Kluyveromyces lactis: one gene and its partners. The protein of the gene in region 1 purifies or fractionates together with the protein of each later gene. This does not show direct contact. Links are inferred from orthologs where the notes say so. Each region holds a gene or a part of one and is shown on either strand. Other genes may lie near its edges.

Evidence for each region. Proteins that work in one complex are often made in the same cells at the same time.
Region 2: the proteins of ACP1 (region 1) and ISD11 purify together in Saccharomyces cerevisiae (affinity purification with mass spectrometry; 4 studies listed by BioGRID, with this or other methods). This does not show direct contact. The link is inferred for Kluyveromyces lactis from reciprocal best matches to the Saccharomyces cerevisiae genes ACP1 and ISD11.
Region 3: the proteins of ACP1 (region 1) and FMC1 purify together in Saccharomyces cerevisiae (affinity purification with mass spectrometry; 4 studies listed by BioGRID, with this or other methods). This does not show direct contact. The link is inferred for Kluyveromyces lactis from reciprocal best matches to the Saccharomyces cerevisiae genes ACP1 and FMC1.
Region 4: the proteins of ACP1 (region 1) and MZM1 purify together in Saccharomyces cerevisiae (affinity purification with mass spectrometry; 3 studies listed by BioGRID, with this or other methods). This does not show direct contact. The link is inferred for Kluyveromyces lactis from reciprocal best matches to the Saccharomyces cerevisiae genes ACP1 and MZM1.

Annotation. Positions count from the first base shown.
Region 1 is NC_006040.1:238,534-241,536, reverse strand, and holds ACP1 (acyl carrier protein), read left to right. Parts: upstream 1-1,656; coding exon 1,657-2,022; downstream 2,023-3,003. Other genes in the region: guanine nucleotide exchange factor DCK1, read left to right, coding at 1-1,340; type 1 protein phosphatase-activating protein SDS22, read left to right, coding at 2,399-3,003. UniProt on the Saccharomyces cerevisiae protein: Carrier of the growing fatty acid chain in fatty acid biosynthesis. May be involved in the synthesis of very-long-chain fatty acids.
Region 2 is NC_006041.1:401,641-404,694, reverse strand, and holds ISD11 (Isd11p), read right to left. Parts: upstream 1,384-3,054; coding exon 1,108-1,383; downstream 1-1,107. Other genes in the region: TPA1 (oxidative DNA demethylase), read right to left, coding at 1-84; APQ12 (Apq12p), read left to right, coding at 2,053-2,502; CAJ1 (Caj1p), read left to right, coding at 2,914-3,054.
Region 3 is NC_006042.1:386,717-389,978, forward strand, and holds FMC1 (Fmc1p), read right to left. Parts: upstream 1,588-3,262; coding exon 1,108-1,587; downstream 1-1,107. Other genes in the region: SGA1 (glucan 1,4-alpha-glucosidase), read left to right, coding at 1-825; isocitrate dehydrogenase (NAD(+)) IDH1, read left to right, coding at 2,443-3,262. UniProt on the Saccharomyces cerevisiae protein: Needed for the assembly of the mitochondrial F1-F0 complex at high temperature.
Region 4 is NC_006039.1:1,055,596-1,058,451, forward strand, and holds MZM1 (Mzm1p), read right to left. Parts: upstream 1,456-2,856; coding exon 1,108-1,455; downstream 1-1,107. Other genes in the region: TPT1 (tRNA 2'-phosphotransferase), read right to left, coding at 1-558; IZH1 (PAQR-type receptor), read right to left, coding at 1,832-2,779. UniProt on the Saccharomyces cerevisiae protein: Assembly factor required for Rieske Fe-S protein RIP1 incorporation into the cytochrome b-c1 (CIII) complex.

The sequences.
Region 1 (3,003 bases):
TTGAACGTAGAGAATACCTCTACAAGGAAGCAGCTAGAAATTTCACCAAGGGTTTGAAATTAGAAAAGGCATTGACAGTATACAAAGATTTGGCTGACGCATACGATAAGATTAACTACGATTTAGATGGATTATCCTACGTTCACGGTCAAATCTCAAACATCTACACCGATTTGCAAAACGTGGACAGATTGGTACCGAACTATTTCAAAGTCTCCTTCTACGGGTACGGTTTCCCCAAGAACCTGAGAGGAAAGACGTTCGTGTTCGAGGGATTACCGTTTGAACATATCACATCCGTGCATAACAGACTGTTAAAATTGTATCCCGGTTCAAAACTAGTGAACAGTTTTACTGAAGCGGATAAGTTATTGGTATCGCCACCGAATGGTAAATTCATCCACGTTATCAGTGTGGAACCAAGGTTGCAAATATCAGACGAGTATGCCACCAGTGACAAGAAGAATGACAATAACAAGGTCAGATTGTACGTAGAAAACAGGGATTTGAAAACGTTTAGCAGTTCTAGAAGAGTTGCTGGGACACACGGAATCACTGATCTATGGGTAATAGAGTATATTTTTGAAACGAAATCCACTTTCCCAACATTAATGAATAGATCCGAAGTTGTGAAAGTCACTGAGAAACGTCTATCACCAATCAACAACGCCATCAAGTCGTTACAACAAAAGATCCAAGAACTGAGCGGACTTGAAGACATGTGCTATAAACTAATGAAAGAAAACGGCGATTGTTCTGAAGTATTTTCAGAACTGTCAAGAAATATCACAGGTACCATTGATGCACCTATTAACGGTGGTATTGCAGAGTATCGTGTATTCTATACGGATGAAGAAACCAAATCGAAACTAGATCCTGCTGATGTGGAATTATTAGTTGCTGCGTTCAACGAATTGACCATTGTCCTAAACCGTTGTCTCGCACTACACGGACAGCTGTGTCCAATCAGCTTAAGCAAGTCACATACGCTTTTGAAGGACTTATTCGCCAAGAATTTCGAAAAAGAGATCAAAGTTAGCGGAATCGATATCAACGAGACCAACGACGAAATAATCGCAAGAATAAAATCAATCCAGTCATCTCAGCAAAGTTTTTCCAAGAGAAGTAGTATGCTAATGTCAAGATCCATATTCTCAGAGAGCCACTCTATCAGATCTGCTGGAAGTAACGGAAGTGCAACAAAAAACAGTATGCATGATCTCACCGTTACCTCTTCCCATAGAACTACAAAAAGCAACGCGCCATCTCACGCAGCGTCACATGCTACGAGAATATCTCGTCCTACCACACATATCAGCATGCTAAGAAGCACAAGATAGCATAGAATAACTTTCTCCCACTGCAACTGTTCTAATTCTCACCTCATGTAGTCTATATAACAATCCAAATACATTTAGGAAAACATCAAAACGTACGGAGTGATTTATGTGCCTAAGCAATTTTTCCCGGTAAAAAATCGATCAAAAGCCAATTCTTTGCAGAGAGAGAGTTTGGATTAAACCTTTCTACCACAACTATTTTCAACGATCATTTGTTGTACATTCTTTTTATTTTACATTCGATTATTTCAGATCGTTGTTACTGTACAGTATAGTGTCTAGTGATATTACAGAGAGATAAAGAAGGAAAGCAAAGATGTTTAGAAGTGTATTCCGTGCTGCCCCAAGTTTGACCAGAGTTTCTGGATTGAGAAGCGGATTTGTAAAGCCAACTTTTTCAAGTGCTTCCAGGTTCTATGCTTCTTCTTCTCTATCCAAAGAAGAAATCACAACCCGTATTGCTGATGTGATTAAATCTTTTGATAAGACAGCTTCTGCTACTTCGATTACTGCTAACACTCAATTTTCCAAGGATTTAGGATTAGACTCATTGGATACCGTTGAATTGTTGGTTTCCATTGAGGAAGAATTCGATATCGAATTCCCAGATAAGGTTGCAGATGAGCTCAAGTCTGTCGGTGAAACTGTGGAATACATCGCTTCCAGCCCGGAAGCTAACTAAGCAATTGGGATCCGAAACGTTGCCCTTCGGTTTTACCAGAATTTAATGTGGAAGAATGTACATATATTGACACACATATATAACTTATAATGAAAGATAAGATAGTTTTGATGAACTGTTTCATGGCCAAAGTGCTATATGTAAACGTCTATTTGTATATCCTTATTACTCCATATGTTTGAACTTGATTTCCATCGGGTCATATGATTTGTAATTCAAACATTTTTCCTTGCGCCCAATGATCACTGAGTTCAATTTTTAAGGTTATGTAACATGCAAACCACATCTTTAGACAGACGGTTGTTGAGGTAAAGACAATGGTTATAAACGCCATTTAGTATTAGATCCGAACCCATATACTTCCAATATATAAAAAATGAGCCGTGAAGAGAGAGTTTTGAGTGATACTGATAATGAAAATACGAATGAGGAAATAGAGACTGGTATTGATTCCCCGGACGAATCATCTTCAGGGTTGTTCACAGCGGGACGCTCGTTACAATCGAACGTCATAGAAGACCACAACCCTGACTATATATCTGCAGATGCAGAATTGGCCGCAGAGATACCAGATGACACCGAAGTAATTGACTTAGTGCATTTGAAAGTACTGGCGTTGGAAGACTTGAATTTGTTGAGATTTAAGAATTTGAAGAAGTTATATTTAAGACAGAATTTGATCGAGTCAATAGCTGAACTGGAGGTACTACCGTTAGAAAACATGGAAGAGATTGATTTTTACGATAATAGAATCAAACACATCTCGAAAAGCGTTAATCTTTTCTCTAATCTAAAGACACTCGACTTATCTTTTAATAAGATTAGAACTATCAAGAACGTCGATAAATTGGTAAACCTCGAGAATTTGTATTTCGTCCAGAATAAGATATCTAAGATTGAAAATTTAGGAACCCTTACAAAGTTGAAAAATCTTGAGCTTGGTGGCAACAGAATCAAAGAAATTGGTCCTGATGACTTGAA
Region 2 (3,054 bases), on another chromosome or scaffold:
CTTTGAACTCTCTAGCAATCTTACCTTCTCGTCGCTTCCCAATGCGGTCTCTTCAGCAGGTCTCTTACTCTCAACGACAGTCATATTAGAAAGTACTGGAAAACGGAACAAACGAGCCGTGATATTCGGTGTCTTGCACTCGCTTTGCAACAAAGGCAATTATAGTGATATTTACGTAGGCTACATAAAGTCATTGAGCAGCTATTGACACCTTTTTTATCACACCTTATAAATGCCAACGGATCAGTCGTTTAAACGTCAGTTTTTCAAAAATTTTCAAGTTTTTGTTTCTTTATTTCTTTGACATATCTGGTGATATTATATGCGCTGCAGAGCCACCTTATGAATACATTAAGGTCTCTGATATTTGACGCGATATGAGCGCGAATCATGTCATCTGTATATTCGTTTAGTGCAGTATTTCTCAACGCATATATAAGAGTAATCAATTCTTACTTCTTTCCAGTAAGGTGATCTCATAATTAAAAAAATAGACTCTACAGGCACGAAATTAGATTGCTTATCTATACTGTTTGATGCGACGGCACTGACGACAATGACCTTATAATTGGTATTAAGGGAAATATGCATAACATGAATAATATCTGGATTACGACGATGATATTATCTTGGATTTGGGTTGGTTGAAGTCACGTGCCTGTTCACGTGATTTTGAGCAATTCCAAACCCCATGTCTCTCTCTCTTTCCGCTTATTAATCCTCGAACAGCAGTCTAGCATGGATCGGAACGTCGTGGAAGACACAAATCGTCTGTCCTTGCTGTTTACAGACACCGTGTTTCAGTACCATAACCTACCCTAAAGACATATTAATTGTCTACGCAAACGATTGGTGTTTTGCGCGAAAGAGATAAACAAAATGAGTAAATTTACTAGCATTTTGAGTCATCCCAGTAATTGTAGAACTGTTGAGATCATATTGAATCTGTTAGAATCGCGTTTCTGTTAATTATACCTATTTAAAATGCAAAACATGGGATGCGGACCAAGGAAATTATGTGGGGGAACTGGACTAGTGGGACTGTCGTTCATTGATTGAAAGAAATATGAAAAAGAGAGGGGAAAGCATTCCTGTAAATGGGCCATGCTAACGCTTCTTCAGAGGCTCAACCACTAATTTATCAAATGTGTACATGTTAGAGATCACAGATTGCCTCTTCAATACACCAAGGTCTTTTTCTGCCTCAGAAAGCAATTCGCTGATCTTTTCAGGATTTTCAACGTTCTTATTGGCACGGAATGACTCTCTTGCCCTTCTTAAAAAATACTCTCTGAAATTGTAATTCTGTATCTTGCTCGCGTTCCTGATGAACTCTTTATACATATGCAATATCTGCGTTTTGCTTGCTCCAGTAGCTGGCATCTCTTGTATTAATATATGTGTGTGCTTGTGGATGTGTAGCTAGTTGAAGAGTTGAAATTATCTTCCTTACGAAATCACTCCAATTCCTTTCGTAAAAATACCTTTAAAACAACGGAAAGAATAAAACTGAAAGCTAGCGGATCAAATAATTACACGCAGAAACTCCGGTCTATGATAATACCGATATGGGATCCTGAACCTTACCTTGTGATTTGTGTTATGTATGATTAAACGTTCTTCTAAAAGTACTAAAAAATATAATAAAGTACAATATTTTTTTCCTTCTTTCCAATGTTAAAGAAATCAGAAAACGAAAGGAAATTAAAAACTGAAACTAAAAAACCAAAACACAACTTTATTCTGATTCTGATGGCAACGTGAATTTAAGATGTAAATTTTACTGTATAATAGTTTCTTGAATATTCTTCTGTTTTGCACTGCAATTCAGGAATATATTTATATATATATACTTCTATCTCCGAATTAGCTGAGAAAGATTTGGATTGTCTTTTCTTCTGTCAGTGCCGTTCCCTTATTAAAGTTAAAGTCAACTTTCGTACGGTATTTGTTAAATCCGTGGAGTAATATCGGAGCCAGGAGTTATTTTGGGTACTGGTAAGCAAACCGGTAAAGCAGTTTCGACGTTTGAGTGGTTAAGGTTAGACGATTATGAATAGTTATCAAGAATACCAGAGATTACAACATCTGTTGAGTGATCCAAAATATCAGCCATACGTGAATTTGGCAAAAAAACTGACATACTATGCCTCTTATTATCTGATATGGGCCCTACAGACGGTGCATTCGCTTGTAAGTAGGTACCCACAAGTCTCTGACTGGTTGGGTTACTTGTTTTCATTATACATGGCCTATTTGACTATAAAGCGTGCCATTCGAGTTGTTAAATCGTCCTCTTATGTTATTCTGGTAGTATTTGGTCTTTACGTCTGGCAAAGAGGCGTTTCTCAAGTTATCCTGATGGATTTGCCATATCTGGCAGATAGGTTAAAACAGTACGTGCATAACTTACCAAGGGATGCTCATGGGAACGGATCCTTTCTCAAGGATGTGTATGCTCCGTTTTATGATTTGTACAATTCGTTACAGGCGTTATTTTAATGCATGGAAGAGCGAAAATTTCTCCCTTTATTAATCGGTATTTATCTGCATATCAAGATTGATACTCTACTAGTTAGCCATAGGTTGTATATTTGATTACTAGACTGGAAAGTTTGGCCCATCGAGAAATGGTGCCATTGCAACTCGATTCCATTTTCTTCCTTTTATGCATCTCCTTTGTTCTCTCATCAAACCTGAAATGTTTCTATTTCCTGAAATCAATAAATGGCTTAACATTACATCACAACATTAACCAAAAATAATTCCGGAAGGCAAACACTTATACTAACCACACATTGATACAGAAAGCAGTATACCTGCCATACATTCACACGAACTTCCAACTGTGTATAAGATTAGCTGTTTAGCTTTACTATTATCAAGAGCAATTATCGGATCAAATACTCAGCTATGGTGAAAGATACCACATATTACGATATTTTACAGGTTTCTGTAGACGCTTCGCCTCAGGAAATTAAGAAATCTTATAGAAAGCTAGCAATTAAGACGCATCCGGACAAGAATCCAGATGATCCGCAAGCACAGACGAAG
Region 3 (3,262 bases), on another chromosome or scaffold:
CTTTTAACGTCGGAAGCAAAAGGTGTAAAATTGAGCAAGCAGTTGACTATACTATTGAAGGATATTGAGACTTGTATAGACAAAATTGAGGATTTTATCATCGATGCCAATTCAGGGTTTATAAATCATGAAAAGGGTTACATTGTGGAAACCCCCAGTATTTTGGATGAAAGGTCAGGTTTAGACATTGCTGTGATCATGGCAAGCACCTTGACACATGATGATTCTATAAAAGATATGAACACCGTTTATGATTCCTTCTTGTTTGATATTGATGATCCTTTCATATTGAATCATTTCAATGAACTAATTGAGAGAATGGCAGTACTTTACCCGATCAATCACAACAGACTTAATACAAACATGGGAGTTGCCATTGGGAGATATCCAGAGGATATTTATGATGGAATTGACATCTCTGAAGGTAATCCCTGGTTTATCTCAACGTTAACCTCTGCCGAATTGATTTACAAATTAGTCAATAAAATGTATCACGATGAGAAACCTTTACTCATTGATCCGATATCGAACAAGTTCTGGACTAAATTCTTCGAATTTGGGAATATGAAGGATTCGCTGATCTTGATACCATATAATACATTAGCGTTCAACCAAACGTTGTACACAATATTCAAATACGGTGATTCATTCCTAAGCAAAGTTAACGAGCATGTAAGTAACGACGGATCGATGAGCGAACAGTTCAACAAATATCATGGATACAACCAAGGGGCTCCAAATTTGACATGGTCTTACGGTACTTTCAGCAATGCACTTCGCTGGAGGGAAATTGTCGATCGATTCATCCATCCTATTGCCATATAAGACATGGAATCACTCTTTCGAATAAAATGTAAAGGGGCAAGTTGTTAATGAAAAGTATATAGGTTGAATAAATACTTTGATAATGATAAATTTTAGCTGCTACTTGTATCTGCTTTACTTAACAAAGAAAAGTACTGAATCCTAAGTTCATTGATCGTTGCATTATTGACTATTAAAACATCTATAAAAAAACACAAGCTTAATACGAGAATATTTACATTTATTGACCGTCTCTAAAAAGCTTTTCCAACAGCAGTATGGTTAAACTTGACCGTGTTGCTATTACTCAGGAACTTGTAGACCTACCTTGTTAGCAGTCTTTTGAACTTTTTCCTCTTGTGACATTTTCAATCCTGGATTATATCTTTCGATCAACTGCTCGTATTCACTTTGATTGACAACAAAGGCCGCAATATCTTTCAAATGTTGAAGAGAACGCGGGTCATCTTTCAGCGATAGAACAATATCTTTGAGATGTTTGCTATGGCTGTAAAATAATAGCTCTTTAGATTTCAATGGGTCCTTAGTCTTCAAAATTTCAATTTTTTTTCCAACCGCACTGAGCTGTTTTAATACCTTGCTTCTTGCCATTGCATCTAGGCCCTTCTCCTGCTGTTGTCTCACTAATTGGATCCTATTGTATGTCAATAAGGCTATTTGTTTCTTTGTATCTTGCTGTAGTTGTTGGATTTTATTGTGCTTCGCACTACGGACAAGTGATCTCAATAGTGACTTATATGTCGATAACGTTAGCTCACTCATTGTATGATCCTTAATATATTCTATATTATCACTGCTCTGTGAGATAATGATAAGTGGAGATATCCTATAATGCCTATTATAATATGTCAAGGCAGAGTACTCTCATAACATGCTAGAATCACCAATCTAATACAGAACTCATCGAAACATTTTTCAACAGTCAAATCTCTCTTTAACTGTCGATCCAGATCACGTGAAACCTTTTTCACGTTTCTTCTGTAAATCTGAAGATATATTTCATTCCGGGTAATGATTCGTGTTTTTTTTTTGTCACTTTTCTTTATTTTCCTCTTGTTCGTTTTTTGACTGACTCAATGCCGAGAACGGAACCCAGGTCACATGATCGCGACTGTTATTATACTGCAGCGGGACCGACTTTCCAACTTGAACACAGGGGAATCAAATGTGACCTAAATTTTGTTAGAAATTGGCATGATAAGTATATAAATACAAAATATGGAAATTGTCCAGAGAGATTTAAAAACCTTGAATCACAACCGCTTTCATTTTACATCAACAACTGAAAAGGAACACTGTAAAAGATCAGTGAAGAAAGCCAATTCAATTGCCTGAACAACTAGCGGATCTGCCATTAGTGTTATAACTATCATTTCTATTCGTTTTCTTTTTTTCTAAAGGTTTTGTGTTTATTTTAAATTCCCTTCTCCACTAAGAAACAATATTCCAGATATAATTTGAAGTGCCCTTCTTTTCGAATTATATTAAGCTTAAAACAATAGTCATTATATCAGATCAATAGGTTTTCTCATTTCCGAGTTAATTGCTCTTTTATTTTAACTTAAAACCCCTCATATTCCCGGTATTACATACTAAATTACAAGAACATAGAAAAAAATGTTGAGACAAGGTATTGCTGCTCAAAAAAAGTCCTTCGCTACCCTAGCAGCTGAACAATTGTTGCCAAAGAAGTACGGTGGTCGCTACACTGTAACTTTGATTCCAGGTGATGGTGTTGGTAAGGAAGTGACCGACTCAGTAGTCAAGATCTTCGAAAACGAAAATATTCCAATCGACTGGGAAACTATCGACATTTCTGGTCTAGAAAACACTGAAAATGTACAAAGAGCTGTCGAATCTTTAAAGAGAAACAAGGTTGGTTTGAAAGGTATCTGGCACACTCCAGCCGACCAAACCGGTCATGGCTCATTGAACGTTGCTTTGAGAAAGCAACTGGATATTTTCGCCAATGTCGCCTTGTTCAAATCAATTCCAGGTGTCAAGACTAGATTGAATAACATCGACATGGTTATCATCAGAGAAAACACTGAAGGTGAATACTCTGGTTTAGAACACGAATCTGTTCCAGGTGTCGTTGAATCTTTGAAGATCATGACCAGGGCTAAGTCAGAAAGAATTGCTAGATTCGCCTTTGATTTCGCCTTGAAAAACAACAGAAAGTCGGTCTGCGCTGTTCACAAAGCTAACATCATGAAATTGGGTGATGGTTTGTTCAGAAACACCGTTAATGAAATTGGTGCTAACGAATACCCAGAACTCGATGTCAAGAACATCATCGTTGACAACGCTTCCATGCAAGCTGTTGCCAAGCCACATCAATTCGATGTTTTGGTGACACCAAACTTGTACGGTTCTATCTTGGGTAACATTGGTTCTGCTTTGATCGGTGGTCCCGGTCTAGTCCCAGGTGCTAACT
Region 4 (2,856 bases), on another chromosome or scaffold:
TGATTTCACAAGGTTGAGGCTGTCTAGCATTTCCTGGATCCTTTTGATATGGATGTAAACGTTACTAGAACTTCTCATTCCACTGATGACATCCGTATCTTTTCCAGTAATGCCGGGAGACAAATGAACATGGTTCCGTGACATTTTTTTGATGAAACCTGAGTGAAGAATTGAAATGCAGTTTGATACGTTGGTGCCATGAACCAATTTACTTGATAGTTGTTCTATGTTGGTAATTGGTTTTAAAACGTGTTGCGATGGAGCAATTTGCTTCAATGTATGTCCTTGTGTTGCACAGACGTACATTATCCCTGTATTCGGATCAGTTTTGATATGAAATCGTTGCTTGTCATTACTAGCAACAATATGCTGTATTTCTGTTGACGTTGCTTTCAAGCTTTTGAGTCTGTTATGCTGCAGTATTCTATCCAATGCAATGTAACCATCAGAATCTATAGGCAAGTTTTCCTTCACAGCACCATGTCTCAGCAAATAAGCCAATGCTTTCGAAATTTTCACACTTCTGTCCTTAGGTTCCTGCGAATGCGAGGTGTTCATAATGGTTCAGTTAAATCGAGCTTAGCACTTTCTGTTTTCCCCAATAGCTTTGACCATGTCGTTCTCTATCGGTCATACATAACTAATGGAATGAAATATATATGACAACGAAAAAATAATTGGATGGAACCTAATATGAGTCAGATGACACACACGAACGTATATATAGATGTAAACTTAGGAATTACAATGTGCACTGTAGGCACCGTACGTAAACGCCTTGAAGTTGCATAGTAAAAATGATAAAATAGAGTTTGATTAAATAATAGAGACCGTTGACCAACATAATTCGTTATGTACATGATAAAGTTCCCATATTTGGTTCACGAAACCTGACGGGGAAGGAAAAGAAAAAGAAGATGTAAATTAATGATTGTGTATAAGCAAAATACTGTAACAGAATGCGCCATATCAGGGACTGCAAAACGCATCTGGGGTCAAAGACACCAGAGTTAGTAGTCGAGTAATAGAGTCCCTTCAGAAAGGACGAAATCAGGGGAAAGACAGGTCATCAATCTGCCTCATAATTTGCTATTCTGTTCCAGCTGCCTATTTGTACAAGCCAGCACCACCACCACAACAACCGCCACCTTGGGCCGCCAGTGTCTTTTTAGTAGTCTTGATAGTTTCGTTGTCACCCAATTCAGTGTCCTTATGGATGTTCAAGTGATATTTGTCATCCTTAGTCCTCTTACCTTGAACGACATTTTGTCTTAGAAACTGTGCAACATCGTTCATAAGCTTGATCTGTTGATCAGGTGGAAGCTCTGGATTTGGTGGATTGACCATGCTTTCTCTCATCTGTTGTCTTGCTGCCATTAGCATGCGCAAGTCTCCTTTAAAAGCAACGCGGGCGGCTCTCAACCCGTTTCTGTAAGCTCCGAGCGCTTGAGACATCTCGTGTTTAATATATAAGGATCTAGGTGACTTAGTTTGAAGCTTTACTATACGGTTTTCTTTGTCTTATGAGACTCTTCTCTGTCTAGTTATCACAGTTGATATTCGCCATTCTCATTTATATATATATTTTTTTTTGTTCATATTGAAGAAAAAAGAAAACTGCATAATATAGTAAACTGTCGCCAGAGAATGTTACAAACGACGGAACCAACAATCAGCCGAGTGTAGCAACATCTGCGGTACTTGATGGATTGTCCCATTAAGGTTACTTTCTAATGCTTGCGCGTGTGTCTGTATTTATGTATGAGTTCATGTGTAAATTTCTTGTAAGAAGAATGGTAAGATATATGAGATAAAGTATTGGCATATCTCTTCATCTTATGAAGACAAAGCTCGAGTGATGCATACCAGTATGCATGAAAACATAAGATCCGAGGATGGCTCTGAAATGACAGATGGAGCCTAAAACCACCATTATATGAAATATTTGATGTGAGTGTCCGACGAAATCAAATTTCCCAGGCGCTAACACTTCTGGGAACCTGAACCCGTAAATCACTGCACCGGCAATATAGAACATCGCTTCTAACAAAACATACTTCAATTGAACTCTGCGAATGGCCTCATATGCACCAAATTTCCAAAACCCAGTAACAATTGGAACTATCCCACTCAAACCGAATGTCACGTAAAACATTGCTCTGAAGGGTCTAAAAGTCTTTGAGTTAAATTTGTCGTGTAGTGCAAACACAGTGCAGATAGTTCCCAGAATAACGGTGAATACGGTGAAACATTTGAAATGGAAAATGTGGTCGTGGAATCCATAGTATAACAATGAGATAATGGAACACGTAATCATAATAATGATTCCCATGTAGTCCACTTTAGACCAGATATGACAATGCGATTCGGAGTGCTGCTTTAAGCAATGGAAAAAGCTGCTGCATCCTAAGCACAGCACCGAACCCAATAGGAAGAAATGGATCATAACACTTTGCATCATAGTAGAGTTTGGAAATTGAGGGACGAGAAACATATCTGCTAATCCAACAAGGAGCACCAAATACGTAATAGTCGGGACCAAATGAGAGTAAATGTTTATCGATTCATTATGGAATAAGAATAACGATTTGACACATTCCTTTACACTTTTAGTTTCACGGATATACCCTGTAATAATCTTATCATTGTCTTGTTGCCATTCAGGAAGTTCACTATATCTGTATAACCTTTTTATCGTGCTTGAAATTGCAACAGGAGTTAACTGCTCTAATTTTTCAGAAATAGATCTCCTGTGTCTGATAGTCGTAGTAGCACTCATACTTGTCTTCACACAATTAATATATCACTGGTTGTTGGCAGCACTATGTATACATAAACTTCCCGCAACCTTAGAGT